Linked DNA regions of Medicago truncatula. The protein of the gene in region 2 interacts with the protein of the main gene of each other region in a pairwise test. Links are inferred from orthologs where the notes say so. Each region holds a gene or a part of one and is shown on either strand. Other genes may lie near its edges.

Region 1 (6,347 bases), on a different chromosome or scaffold from region 2:
AAATCAAATGTCAAAAAAGAGATACAAAGAAAATCAAGTTGGCATTGGACATTTTTGTTTTTTTGCTTTTTCTCTAACAGAGAAAATCAATTACGATAAAGTCCGAGAAAATTACGCAAAATTTCAAACGAAAAAGGAATAAAAAGGCAACAAAAAAAAAATATAGATTTGAATGTATTCAAATTAATGGGATTTATGTAACCAAAAAAAATTAATGGGATTTAATGAGAGTTTTAAACCACTGATTAATTTTATTTTAATGATATAATTTAAATTGGGGTGCTTAGTTCGATTTATTTAAAGCATGATTGAACTATGGATTATCAAAACCCTTTTCTAAGATAACCGAATGGTTAATACCGTAGGGATAATCGTCCAGGTCTTATTGTGAAGAAAAAAACGCCGCCCTGCCAAAAAGAATGCATGGGTTGAATAAATCGCCCAAAACAAATGTCGAAATTGTCAATCAGACGACATGATCGAGATTCAAATCCCAACTCATCCAGTAGTGTGTATGAGTTTCAATAGTTATTTGTAATTTTGTCTATCTAACGAAAAATAAAAATAAAAATGAATAATGTGAAATTAATAAATAAAATTGATATTGTTACCAAATTACTCTTTATTTTAATAGTTTGTAGTATTGATAAGATATATATTTGGGAAAAAAATAGTAATAAACAAAGTAGTATTGTTCAAAGAATCTTATTTTTAAGGGCAAACAAATTTCCTTAAAAAAAAATCTTATAATTAAAAGCAGAGATAGCATGAATTAAAAATAGTAATAAATGCATTTAGATAGTAAAAAATAGTAATAAGGCCCTCCACCACCAAAAGGAATGGAGCTAACTTGTCTCCTTATTTGAGACCCCTTTAGATATTAATCTCATGGGTAGAGCTCATATTCACCAAGACATACAGGCTCTTGAAGAAAACAGATGCACAAATCTAGGTCCGCAACTTAGTACCAAAGTCAAACCTACTTAACATGTAATTCAAAAAAGTCCACCTCCCTGGGTCGTAAATATTCTTTGAGAAATACTATGTTGAGTAGTTTATTCGAAGAAAAAATTGAGTATAAGTTTGTTGAAAAAAAAATAAAAGTATCTCCTTTAAACTTAAGAAGTGTGATAGTTAATAAATTATCAATTGTAGTCCAAGTAGAGTTGTGATCTCACCGTTAACTAAGAGAGAGAAATACATGAGAAATTTAAATAGTTTGAATGGTTCTAATTATAAACTAGTTTGAATGGTTATAGATCATATTTTACTATCTCATGGGTATACACGAGAAAGAAAACATTTTATTTGAAGGTTAAAATGTACTTTTGATCCCTTAAATTTTCAAAAGTTGCAATTTTGATTCCCTTATTTCGAAAATAACACTTTTGGCCCTCCAAGTTATAGCTCCTTTGCAAAACCATGGCCCCCTTGATTTTGACTTGGTCAAAGTTAACATGTCGTGTTTTTTTTTTTTGTGTCATGTTGGATATTATTAAAATTAAAATTTTGTCAAAAAAAAAGAAAGAATTAAAATTAAAACAAAAACCCATAAAAGGTGAGATTTCTCACATGACCCTTCCATTCCATATTAGAAACCGTAGAAACCAAAATCCAATTGGGAATTAGGGTTAAGTCCAAACTCCAAATTTCACTCTCATCTTTATCGAACCAGCAAGGTTAATTGAAGAAGATGACGAAACAGTCTCCAAAGGGAAAAACAAAAGCAAACACGAAGGTCAGAGTTGCGAAGAAATTTGATGCGAAAGTCAAAGATGCGAAGAAGACATAAGCGAAGGTAAGGGTTGCGAATTCTTCCGATTCGAAGATGCTGCTCAGTGCCGCAATGTAGGAAAGTCTTCCGATTGAGATTTAAAGTTTGGACTTAACCCTAATTCCCAGTTGGATTTTGGTTTCTACGGTTTTTAATATGGAATGGAACGGGCACGTGAGAAATCTCACCTTTTATGGGTTTTTATTAATTTTAACTCTAATAATAAGTGTTGGCAAAATTTAAATTTTAACAATATCGAGCGTGGCACAAAAAAAAAAACGCAACATGTCAGCTTTCACCGAGTCAAAATCAAGGGGATCATGGTTTTGCAAAGGAGCTAAAACTTAGGGGGCCAAAAGTGCTATTTCCAAAATAGTAGGTTAAAATTTCAACTTTTAGAAACTTTGGAGCCAAAAGTGCATTTTAACCTTATTTTAAGTACTCATTTTTTTATTGAATGAAACTCACATAAAACTTATGTGGGATCCATTTTTAAAGTGTAAAAGTGACATGGGTTTTATTCAATAAAAATGTTACCGGTAGTTAATAAGGTGTTAGATCTAGAATGTCCAAAGCAATCCATTTCCGTATACAATCATCTTATTTTTCTCAAATCTGATTGAGTGTAAATTACTACGCCTACAACCTACAGTGCAAATATATATATATATATATATATATATATATATATATATATATATATGGAGATAGATAACTGCAAATGGGGACTACAATTATGATTCCATTTAAATTCCAAACCACAAAAGAGGAACAATTTAAGTTATTAAACGGATCATTACTACTACAAGTTAACGGAGTATTACACTGAAGATGCACTTTTCATGACTAGCTAGCTAGGTTTATAAGTCATTCATTCATATATATTAATATTACCATACTTATATCATACCATCATAATTATACATTATACATTGATATAAACCAACCAACCAATTAATTCTCCAATATTTTAAGCATCCATGAATTAAAACTGTGGAAGTGGCATAGCCAATTGATCAAGTAAAGCAATAACAGGTGTAGCCAACCTAGGCTCATAAGCAAAACCATGCAACTCAAACCCATCATAACCAGCATAAGGACAAGGTGGAATCCACTGCCATCTCTTCCTTCCAATATCATAAACCAAACCCTTATCACTTCCTTTAATCATAATCACAATAAACTCACCATTCCCAACACACTCAAATCCATTCCCATTTTCCATTTCAGCAAACTGAACATAAAGTTGTTGTGGCATTCTCTCACTTTCAACCCAAACACTTCCACAACCTTGTAAACACCAAACCCTCAAACTTTTAGGCACATTCAGCTTACTCTTTTCAACAGCGGCAACAAGTAAGAGTTTCCCTTTGCATTCAACAAGGTTAGGTGACCTTAAAAACCTTCTCATAGGTGCTTGAATTTTGAACCAAGCGTTTGTTGCTACATCATAAGCTAAAACACTAAAAGGACTGCAATTCATGCAGTAAAATTTTCCATTTGAATATACCATTCTACCAGATTCAAGACTACAGAGTCTTGGTAATGAAGAGGTTGTTCCCCAAATGGAATAAAACCCACTTGCATCAATGTGAAAGCTTTCAGATGTTAAGTTTTTAACTGCATAAGGTGATATCATGTCATCACCAGCAACAGTAACATCAATGGAAGATGGAGTGATGGTTAAGCCAATGGAAGGAAAGAGTCTTGGACGCAAAGTTGGTGGTAACTGAGCTATAGAACCAAGTAAAGGGTTGCTTAAAAGCATTGTTTTTGGACCAGATTCATCAGAAACAAAACAGACTAAACCTGAGGATGAAGAAGATGGTGAGAAACCAGAAGGGATTAAAGCAAATGAAATACGGTACCACGTCATTTCATTAGGATCAAAGAGGTAGCCTTCAAAGGAAGTACTATCAGTGATGTTGTTACTGTTTTTGTAGATGTGAGTTTTTGATCTGGTTTTGTGTTTGAAGAAGATGAACCAGTGGAAACGAGGTGAAACTTGAAGGTATAATTCAAGGAAAGAGTTGGAAAAGAGAAGAGAGTAGAATCTCTTGCAGACAGAACGTGCACGGAAGAAAGCTGGTGGAGGAAGGAAAGCTATGATGCGATCAAGTAGTCTCTGTGGAAGCTTACTCCATATTCTGCTGTTCATCCATGGAGTAGTAGAAGTAGTGGTGTAAGGAGCAGTAGTTATGTTGGTGCTAACACCAGAAGCAGTAGCAGTGATAGGGAAAGTGTAAGAAAAAGAAGGGTTCATGCTCATGCTCATATTCATATTCATACTCATATTCATAGATGGGTGAAAACCTTCCATAAATATAAATATAAATTTGTATATGGTTCTTTCTTATTATTAGAGGAAATAGTGGAACATTTAAGATATATGATAGCTAGGGTTGGCTTTAATGATAAAGGAAAGGTTATAGATTGTTGGTTGTTTTTGGTGAAAAAGAAAAGGAAGTGAAATGTTTGTGGAAAAGAACGCTTTTAGGGAAGCACCTAAGAGGGGAAAGGGTGAAAAAGGTAGCTAGGTTTTGGAAGGATAGTTGGTGGTGATTGCTAAAAATCACCTGGGAGGAGATGGTTGATTCTGTTCCTCATTTTCAGTGGGATTTGGAGGAGATATTGGAGAAAGGGGGGGGTAGATATAGGAAGATTTTGAAGAAGATTTTAGGTGTGAATGCAGCATAACCATAAATGGAACAAAGGACGTGAGTTAGAAAGTGGCAATGAATTGGGTGGGGACAACTGTATATATAATAACAACAAACAATAGACAACAAGAGTGAAGTAGAAATGAAATGAGCCTTGTGTTATTTCTTTATATAATAGAAAAAGTTTTAATTTCCTTATTAATGCTTTCTTGCTCATGGTTTGTTTTTGGTAGTTGAGGAGGTGAGAATAAAGAAAGAGGAAGTGATTATTTCTGATGAATGCATCTATCATTTCAGTGTTGTTTTGTCAAAGCCGAGGTTGGGAAGGAAGGACATGTTTGCAGAAGAGAAAGACATGTGCAATTGATCAAAGTGCAACTCAACTATATGCTACATGGGAATGCTAGTGCTAGTGCTAGTGGAAAAATATAGGCCCTTTATATTATATATAATAACTTTGCCAAAAATATTATACATAATAATTCAAATTTTTTTTGGAGGATACATAATAATTCAATTGTTAATTCGATATATATATATATATATATATATATAATTCAAGTGTAAGAGATTGATTTTGATATTGTGAAACAGTCATAAGCATATGCTAACAAACGTTAAACCTAGATTGAAAATAAACAAATTTGCAAGCGACAAACTTGTGAAAATAGGGTTTCGGAATCCATTAGAAATTGAGAAAATTCTCTAAAATATGGTTGAATGAATAAAAGTTGACTCTTAAAGTACAACTGTTAAGTTTAAATAGGAAAATAAAAACCCTAATGGACCAAGAATCTAAATAGAAAATAAAACATAAATTATTAAAATTGAACTAAAATGATAAAATACTAAAGAAAATTCTCCTGCATATCATATCATATTGATTAGAATAAACTAAAGAATTATATATAAAAATAATGTTTATATATGCAATGCTTTAAAGTTATAACTAGAGATCTATTGTTATTTGATCTATTTGGAAAAAAAAAAAAAAACTTCGGAACAATGTGAACTTTTGACTTGAGGAGTGTGATGTTGTCTTATTCTAGATAAGTTGGTTAAAATATTAGGTGAAAGCTTTCAATTATGAACTCAATTGGTAGTGATCTTGTCCCTTACGTTGTTTAGGGATTAGTGTTGTTTCTCGTTTGAGTGTTTTATTGTTTGGTGGATGTTAATTATCTTGGAGTTTTGGTTTTAATCTAGCCTCTGGTGTTGGCTTTGCTATGTTTTTGTTGTTAGTGGTGGATCAGTTGACTTGACCTATGTAATTTGTAACTTTTTTTTGGTATTTTTTGTGCTAAGATTTTCTTATCATGTTGATTTTAGCTTCGTCAAAAAAATAAAACTGGGGCTATTATTGTTTAGCTTGATGAGAGATGATTATATTGAAAGTTTTTCTGATATTGGAGTCAGATTTATTTATTTTTAAAAAGGTAAAAATAGTTAGTCGGTTTATTTGCCGAAAGAAATGATATTTATACAACTATTTTTTAACAATTTTTATACAATTTTCTCTCTCGTACTTATATTATATTCTTTCTCTCTCTTTTTTTTTTTTTTTTCTCTCCATTGTTTATGATCAATAAGAAGAGAGAAAGGAGATTGTCATTGAAGTTGTTAACAAATAATTGTTCAAATATCATTGCTCATTTATTAATGACACCATTGGTGAAATGTGAAATCCATTTCCCACAAAGCGACAAAAAAGCCATAAACAGGAAGTACCACTACAGTTCATTCTATATATGATATGGATGACAACTCTAGCAGCAAAAATGGCTACACATAGGCCAAAGCGCATAAAATCTTGAATAGAACCAATGTTACCTCTAGATTACACTTATTAAAAAGGCTATACTATTGTTACTTGATGTGTTCGCTATACTTACCCGCTAAGTTTGTACATTTAA
Region 2 (6,757 bases):
TCAAACCAAGAACACATCCTTACCATACTCCCTCATCACTAGATTTTTTAATTTTATTATTTTAAAACTATTTTTTAAAAACAAAAAAAATATTTCAAAATTAAAATAAACATTTAAAAATAAAAAATAAACTTAATTTTGGAAATTAATTTTCCAATTTTTTTTTTGAGCAAGTTTTTTTCAAAAAACTTAATTAAATCTTCGAAAATCATAATTAAAATTTTTGAAAACAAGTTTATTTCAAAAAAATTATTTATATTTTTTAAAATTTTGGAAAATTAATTTCCATATTTTTAAATTAATTTTTTATTTTTATATGTTTATTTTAATTTCGAAATATATTTTTTGTTTTTAAAAAATGGTTTTAAAATAATAAAATTACAAAATCTAGTGATGAGGGAGTATGGTAAGGATGTGTTCTTGATTTGATCTAATGGTTAAAAACTAACTTTCCCATAGTGGGAAAAATTAGCCTTTCCCATGCTAAACTTCACTCATTCTTTAATCTCATTCCATACCATTCCATCCCATACCACCAATCCAAACATAGTCTTAAACTTCTGTTTATATATTATTGAGAAGAGTTGTGTTATTTGAACATCCATATATACCAAAATTTTACAAAGGAAATGAGGTAGTGGCACAAAAACCAAATCAATAGAGAGAGAAAGTAAAAAGATAATGTGAATGAGAGAAAAAGTTGTCAAAAAAATTGTAAAAAAATGGTTGTTAAAATATCATTTCTCTATTGAGAATTACTATTTCTCTCCAATTTTTATTAAGTTTTTACCTTTGTGCTTATTTGTATTAACATCAAAAAATTAATTATATTTTTTTAATATGCTAGAAATTAGGGTTATGACAAAGTTCATCTAGTTAATATTTACATGTTGTAATTGCGTGAAAGCTTAAAAAAATTACCGCAGAGAATCAATTTGTAACCCAAGCAAGCAAATTATTTATGAGGTGCATAAAGAAACCTTATATTAATTTTTTCCTTCAATAATAACTAAGAAAAGTCCTCTAGCTAAAATGAGATTACTACATTCCAGTCGATATATATGAGGAAGGTTCTACATTTCCACTTGTACTACACAAATAATAATCCTAGAAATAACACATACATCGATGATCCATCCATTCCTGATCATCAAAGTACAGAAAGATGCATGCGAGCGTGATAGAATTTGAAGTCTAACTTAAAAAGGAAGGTGAGCAGTTCCAACAGAGACGGAGCTTGAAGCAGCAGCACTGTTCCTCTCAGCATGACAAAGCTGACGAAGTTTTGTTGGCACATACCATATTGAAAGACGAGGATGTGCGTTGAATATTGCATCAATATCCCATCCTTGACGTGCAGCTATTGCTACAAGTGGCTTGTAACATGCTTGTCTCCATGCACCAACATTCTCTCCTCTTTCCTTAAACCCTCTTCTAAGCTCATTTGATACCTCTTCATCTAAACAATGCAATGCATAACAGTGCACGTAGTGTCTCATTTTTGGCTTGTTTATGTAGCTTGCTCCAGCTTTCTTTGCATACCTAAATACCTGATTTGTCACCTACACTCACTCAAAGTTATTAATCATGTATCATTTATTTATTTATTATAAGTAGACCCCATATACACAACGTAGTATCAAAATTTCATGGATATGTATTTTGATTATGAGGGTAAGCTAAGATCCGGATAATAAAATGCATGCATTATTTTGTTATGGTTCTAGTTTGTGACCGGAAAATAAATAAATGAATAAATACAAACAAAGTGTACGGAACGGAGATATATGATCATATGAAAATCCCAGTTGAATGGGAAGTTGTGATGGGACCCATTAGGAGAGTCCCTGAGTCGTCACGTGTTCGGATGAACGTGTCACGGCAAGAAAGTACTGTTCAAACGGTTCGTGAAGGAACTATACACTACTACACAACACAGGAATCTGACTGGTTTCAAGTCAGAGTCAGATTCAGAAGAAGATAGATCCACATAGATATGACGAGAAAGTACAACAAATTCAATTAAAATATATATGAAAAATGTTGTTCGGGCATGGTATAGTATACCTTGGTAGGGCATTTCTCACCGCGTTCCTTAGCAATTGCTTGAACCTGAATCAAGAACTCACGACATTGTTCATAGAGATGAAAAAGATAATCTAGACCGTTCTTTTTGCCACGTGCAACTTCCCCAGGCTCTGTCACAATGAATGGATGTTCTCTTTGTCTCTCACCGCCACCACTGATGTTATCTTCTTCCTCCTCGTCTCCTTCTTCATTCTCACCATGATCACCATTTCCCTTCATCTTCATCCTTCTCCTCCTTATTTGCTGCCTCTTTCTCCTCTCCTCCACCACAGCTACCTCCCAAGTACTCCCTCCTCCGCTTCCCACCGCCTCCTTCTCTCGCTGCACCACCGGCTCCTCCGACAAACCTAAGCATATTAATTATATATAGTTGACATTTGAGAATTGAATATTCTATAAGGCTGTCATGTCACAAATTATTTGTGATTAGTTACTACTTGATTATATTTGTTACCACAGGATCAATGTATAAGTGATCATGCATTCAATGTAATTATCAATTTCATAACGTCAATTCTAAAATAATTTTTTCTATCATTGTACCGTTTTTTCAACATAATACATCTTTTAATCGTTCATTTTCATATACAAAGGAAAAAAAAGTGAGGTTCATATTATAAATTTGTAATATCATAGTTGACTTTAATAATATATTAGAACAGTATTTTAATATAACAGTAGAATAATTTGAGTCAATTATTATAAATGACTGTGCACCTTCTTGAGAGAGAGCATCGAGAGCGTTGGTGGTATCGCCGGAAAGAAGACCCCGGCGTTTAATTTCCTCTTCATCAAGGCGTCTCCGTTCAGCTCTAATGGCAGCTTTGATGCCGTAACGCTCTCCAACAAGAAGATCCCAACGAAAAATCTGGGAAAGGCTGTTCATCATGTCATCAAGCTCATCATCCTTCATGTCCACCAGCGTGCTCACTGTAAAACCAAGCTCTGCTATCTTCGCCGCCGTGTAGTATCTGATTCCATAAGCTTGGAAAAGTTCCTCCAAACCTCCAAGTTCTCTTGGTAATCTCGCTGGATAATAAGGTGATGGAGCAGTTGATGGGGTGACTGCGTAGTCGAGAAGTTGGGGACGGAGAGGTGGAGCTGTTGGTAGGACGGTACGTGGGTCCCACTTGAATAGGCTGGCGGTGAATGCGTCGGGATCCATGGTAAGCAATGAAACTGTTTTAACTTCTTTGTGTATGTTTGTTAGGTTTTGGAAAATTATGAGAAGTGGAAGATTTATGGTACTGTTTAGGTGGAGATATAGAAAACGTAAAGGTGGTGAGGGTGTGGTTAAATTTACTGTGGAGAAAGAAAGATAACGTGATTTTCCAAAACTACCCTTTGTTTGACATGGTTTTTCCAAAACTATAAGGAAATAGTGTTATTCCCAAGACTGGTTAGGGCTTGTTGGAGACTTCCTTTTGTTGTGTGTGAGACTAAGAACTGTATTTGATTTGAAACTGGAATGCCTCAAAACAAACCGAACTAATTTAACTGGCTATAGATAGACGTGGTTACCCATAATAATATCCGACCAGATGGGGTCAGTTGTGTTGTGTTGTGTGTATATGGTTTGACCTCTGATTTGACTTGACTGTTATTTTTTTTTTTGTGCTTGCTCTTATGTGTCATATGCATGCTTGTGTGTTGTACAAAGTATGAATTGATGCTTTGGGTTGTCGTAAAAGCCTATATATATTAGCCTACTTAAACAACAACAACAACAAATTAATTAAATGAAGAATACTAGGGTTTTTTAGGGTTATTTAGTTCAAATGTTCAATCATTATGATTATATTTAGGGTAGGGCGGCAAATAATAAGGAAAAGTTGGTAAGGTCCTGGTCAGTGAAAGGCATGCATGTAAGTTTGTAACCCGAAAAACAACAAGCTACTTTTCCTTATTGCCTATTATTATGATTTAATGTAACTAGTGATCAATCCAAACAATTAAAGGTAAATTATTAAATTTGATTATTAATTATTTTTGGTGAGAATTACAATGAAGAAAGGTAGATGGCAGAGGATTCACGAGTGATTCTTGTGTCTGATACTGTAGTGGTGAGTTACGGAATCAGAGAAAATCTCACTGAGGTTTTTAGCTGTTTGTAATACAGAAGAGAGACTAGCTCGTTAAGGAAACAGACAAAAAAAGGACGTAAAAACAGTAAAAACATTAATGGGGAAACAATGATAGTAAAGAATGGGGTTACTATTTACTATTTCATGAGTGACGAGATGTGAAGCAGAAGCAGTGATGCAGGGATCAAAGTACGTACAGCTGCAAGGGTTGCAGGTTGTTCCAGTTGGTCTTAAAGCAAACACTGTAAAGTTGAAAAAAAAAGGCTGATTAATTCATGATGTGTGTGTACTTTCGAAGACCATTGCTTCCAATTTCCAACCCATGCCAACACATGAGCTACCATAAACCATTAATAGAGGTGAAGTGAGGTGGAGGGTGCATGGTGTCACCTCGCTGGTTACCATATATGAAGCACAAGATACAAACAATGACACGTCGATATTGTTAATAACTTGATTTTTTTTTATAATTCAATGGAATTATATGTGTCAATGTCAGATACAATGGAGTGTTTATAGTGTAGTTTAGATTAGGTTTAGAAGAACAATCTCATCCAACATTATACTTGGTTTGATTCAATCCAATTATACGTATCTCAATGATTTGAGGAAGTAGGCATAGAAGAGCGAGTGTCAAAAACTACTTGATCCTCAATGGAAGACTTATTGATTAAAGATGAATGATATTTTGACAATCAATTTTAAATGATTTTGGGTAACAACATTTTTCCTCCCTTCTAATTGGACAATAACAATATATATATATATATATAGAGAGAGAGAGAGAGAGAGAGATGAAGAGAGAGAATAAAGTATCAAAGAGAGTTGTCACCAATGATCATATATGTGTCAATTGTGTGGATATGTCAAGCTTTTGATTGCTGTCGGTTAATTTCAATAAGTATCCTTCTCACTCTTTCTATCTCTCTCCAACTTGCATTTTTCTAAGCAAAGTAAATCAAGGGCAAGAAACAGAAATTCAACTGTTCTTAGACCATGTCCAATGGTGTTGAGTTGAAAGCAACCTTCAACAAGTGGAAGTGCTCCAATGGTATGTTGAATGATGATGTGGAGGAGAGAGATGTTGAATGCATTCAACATGTTGAATAGGAGAATGGTGGGCCAAGTTGAAGATGATGTGGCGCAAAACAAGTGGTTTGTAGGGAGAGTGCACTACACACGCCTGACAGGTGCGCTGGTCTTTCTCCAAAAATAAATTGTTAAGTGTTTTTTTAATTTAATTATAATCGATAATTGTAATTATGTAATTATAAAAACAAAATATAAAATTAAATAAGAAATAAAAAGTGGTGGAGTAAAGTGTTGAATGAAAAACCATTGCTGAGGGTAAAAGTTGAATGAATGTTAAATAAGAGAGATGATTGTTGGGAATTGAAAAAGTGGGTGTTGAATGAAAAAACTATTGTACATGGTTTAGATAAAACTATTGTACATGGTTTAGATGTGTGATTCTACTCAATTATGATCCATTCAGTGGCGGAGCCAGGAATATAGTAAAGCCCGGGCAAAAAAAAATTTGCAACACATTTATAGGGCGTACATAAGAAATTGCAAGCAAATAATAAAAAATGTAAAGAAATTGCCCAATTTATAAGGGGTTTATATAAGAAATTCATAGGGATTTACACAAGAAATTGCAAAAAATTTGGCCCGGAGCCCGAGCGAGTACCCGGGGTCGCCGGGCCTTAGAACCGCCCCTAGATCCATTATTTCTACCTCATGTTTGGTACACCATTTTTGAGATCTTGTCTATTGTAATTCTTATGTGATCCCTACTCTCTAGCTCGGATTTTAACCTTAAAATGTCTCACTAGATTAAAGAAAGTATGTTTAGAAGGTATTCTAACCCTTGATTCCTAATTCTCATTCAAGGGACCTGATTATTGGACTCTTCGTATCTATTCATTATGTTCAACTGTATATAGGTAATGAATAGAGATCACATGCACTGTTAGGAAATTCTTGTTTTCTATTTTGAGATCACATGCACTGTTAGTAAATTCTCGTTTTCTATTTTAATTTTGGATATCATATTTGTACAATTATATTGGTCGAGGAAGATGACAAACCACAACTGTACATGTAAAATTCAATTGTCAATGTTATTCCTCAAAAGTCAATTATTTATTGCAATGGATATGAGACATGTTTACTTAGCCTAGGTCGATAATCTGACATGATATCTGTACTGAAGAGAAAATTGGTGTTTATTAGTTCCATTTTTAGAAAGATCGAAGTTGATTATGATATGTTTGGTTGTTGTCGAGTAGAATCGATTTTGTTTTTATAATTGCTTCTGGTCGTAGTCAAGATTTGTAGCTTTTAATTGCACAATTAATTTTCACACACAAATATATAATTCACTTTTACATATGTATCCAAATACAAATCATTTTAGTCAAAATGATTTCTAACCAAAATCAATTTTACCAAAATTAATTCTTCCCACCGCCGCACAACCAAACGCAAACATAAAATGACCTAAATTGTTAGTCTAGAATGAATGACAGTCGAGTTAAGGGTTAGCTTATATTCAGATAACTAAATAGTGATATGTCGAGCTA

What was found. The genes of interacting proteins can lie anywhere in the genome.
Region 1: the proteins of protein UNIFOLIATA (region 2) and protein UNUSUAL FLORAL ORGANS interact in binary tests that used the Arabidopsis thaliana proteins (3 or more experiments, as listed by UniProt). The link is inferred for Medicago truncatula from reciprocal best matches to the Arabidopsis thaliana genes LFY and UFO.

What each region holds. Positions count from the first base shown.
Region 1 is NC_053045.1:46,785,504-46,791,850, forward strand, and holds protein UNUSUAL FLORAL ORGANS, read right to left. Parts: upstream 4,530-6,347; 5' UTR 4,095-4,529; coding exon 2,760-4,094; 3' UTR 2,572-2,759; downstream 1-2,571. UniProt on the Arabidopsis thaliana protein: Component of SCF(ASK-cullin-F-box) E3 ubiquitin ligase complexes, which may mediate the ubiquitination and subsequent proteasomal degradation of target proteins. Considered as a meristem identity factor required for normal growth of the young floral meristem.
Region 2 is NC_053044.1:48,439,412-48,446,168, reverse strand, and holds protein UNIFOLIATA, read right to left. Parts: upstream 3,624-6,757; 5' UTR 3,254-3,623; coding exon 2,806-3,253; intron 2,436-2,805; coding exon 2,068-2,435; intron 1,563-2,067; coding exon 1,200-1,562; 3' UTR 1,025-1,199; downstream 1-1,024. UniProt on the Arabidopsis thaliana protein: Probable transcription factor that promotes early floral meristem identity in synergy with APETALA1.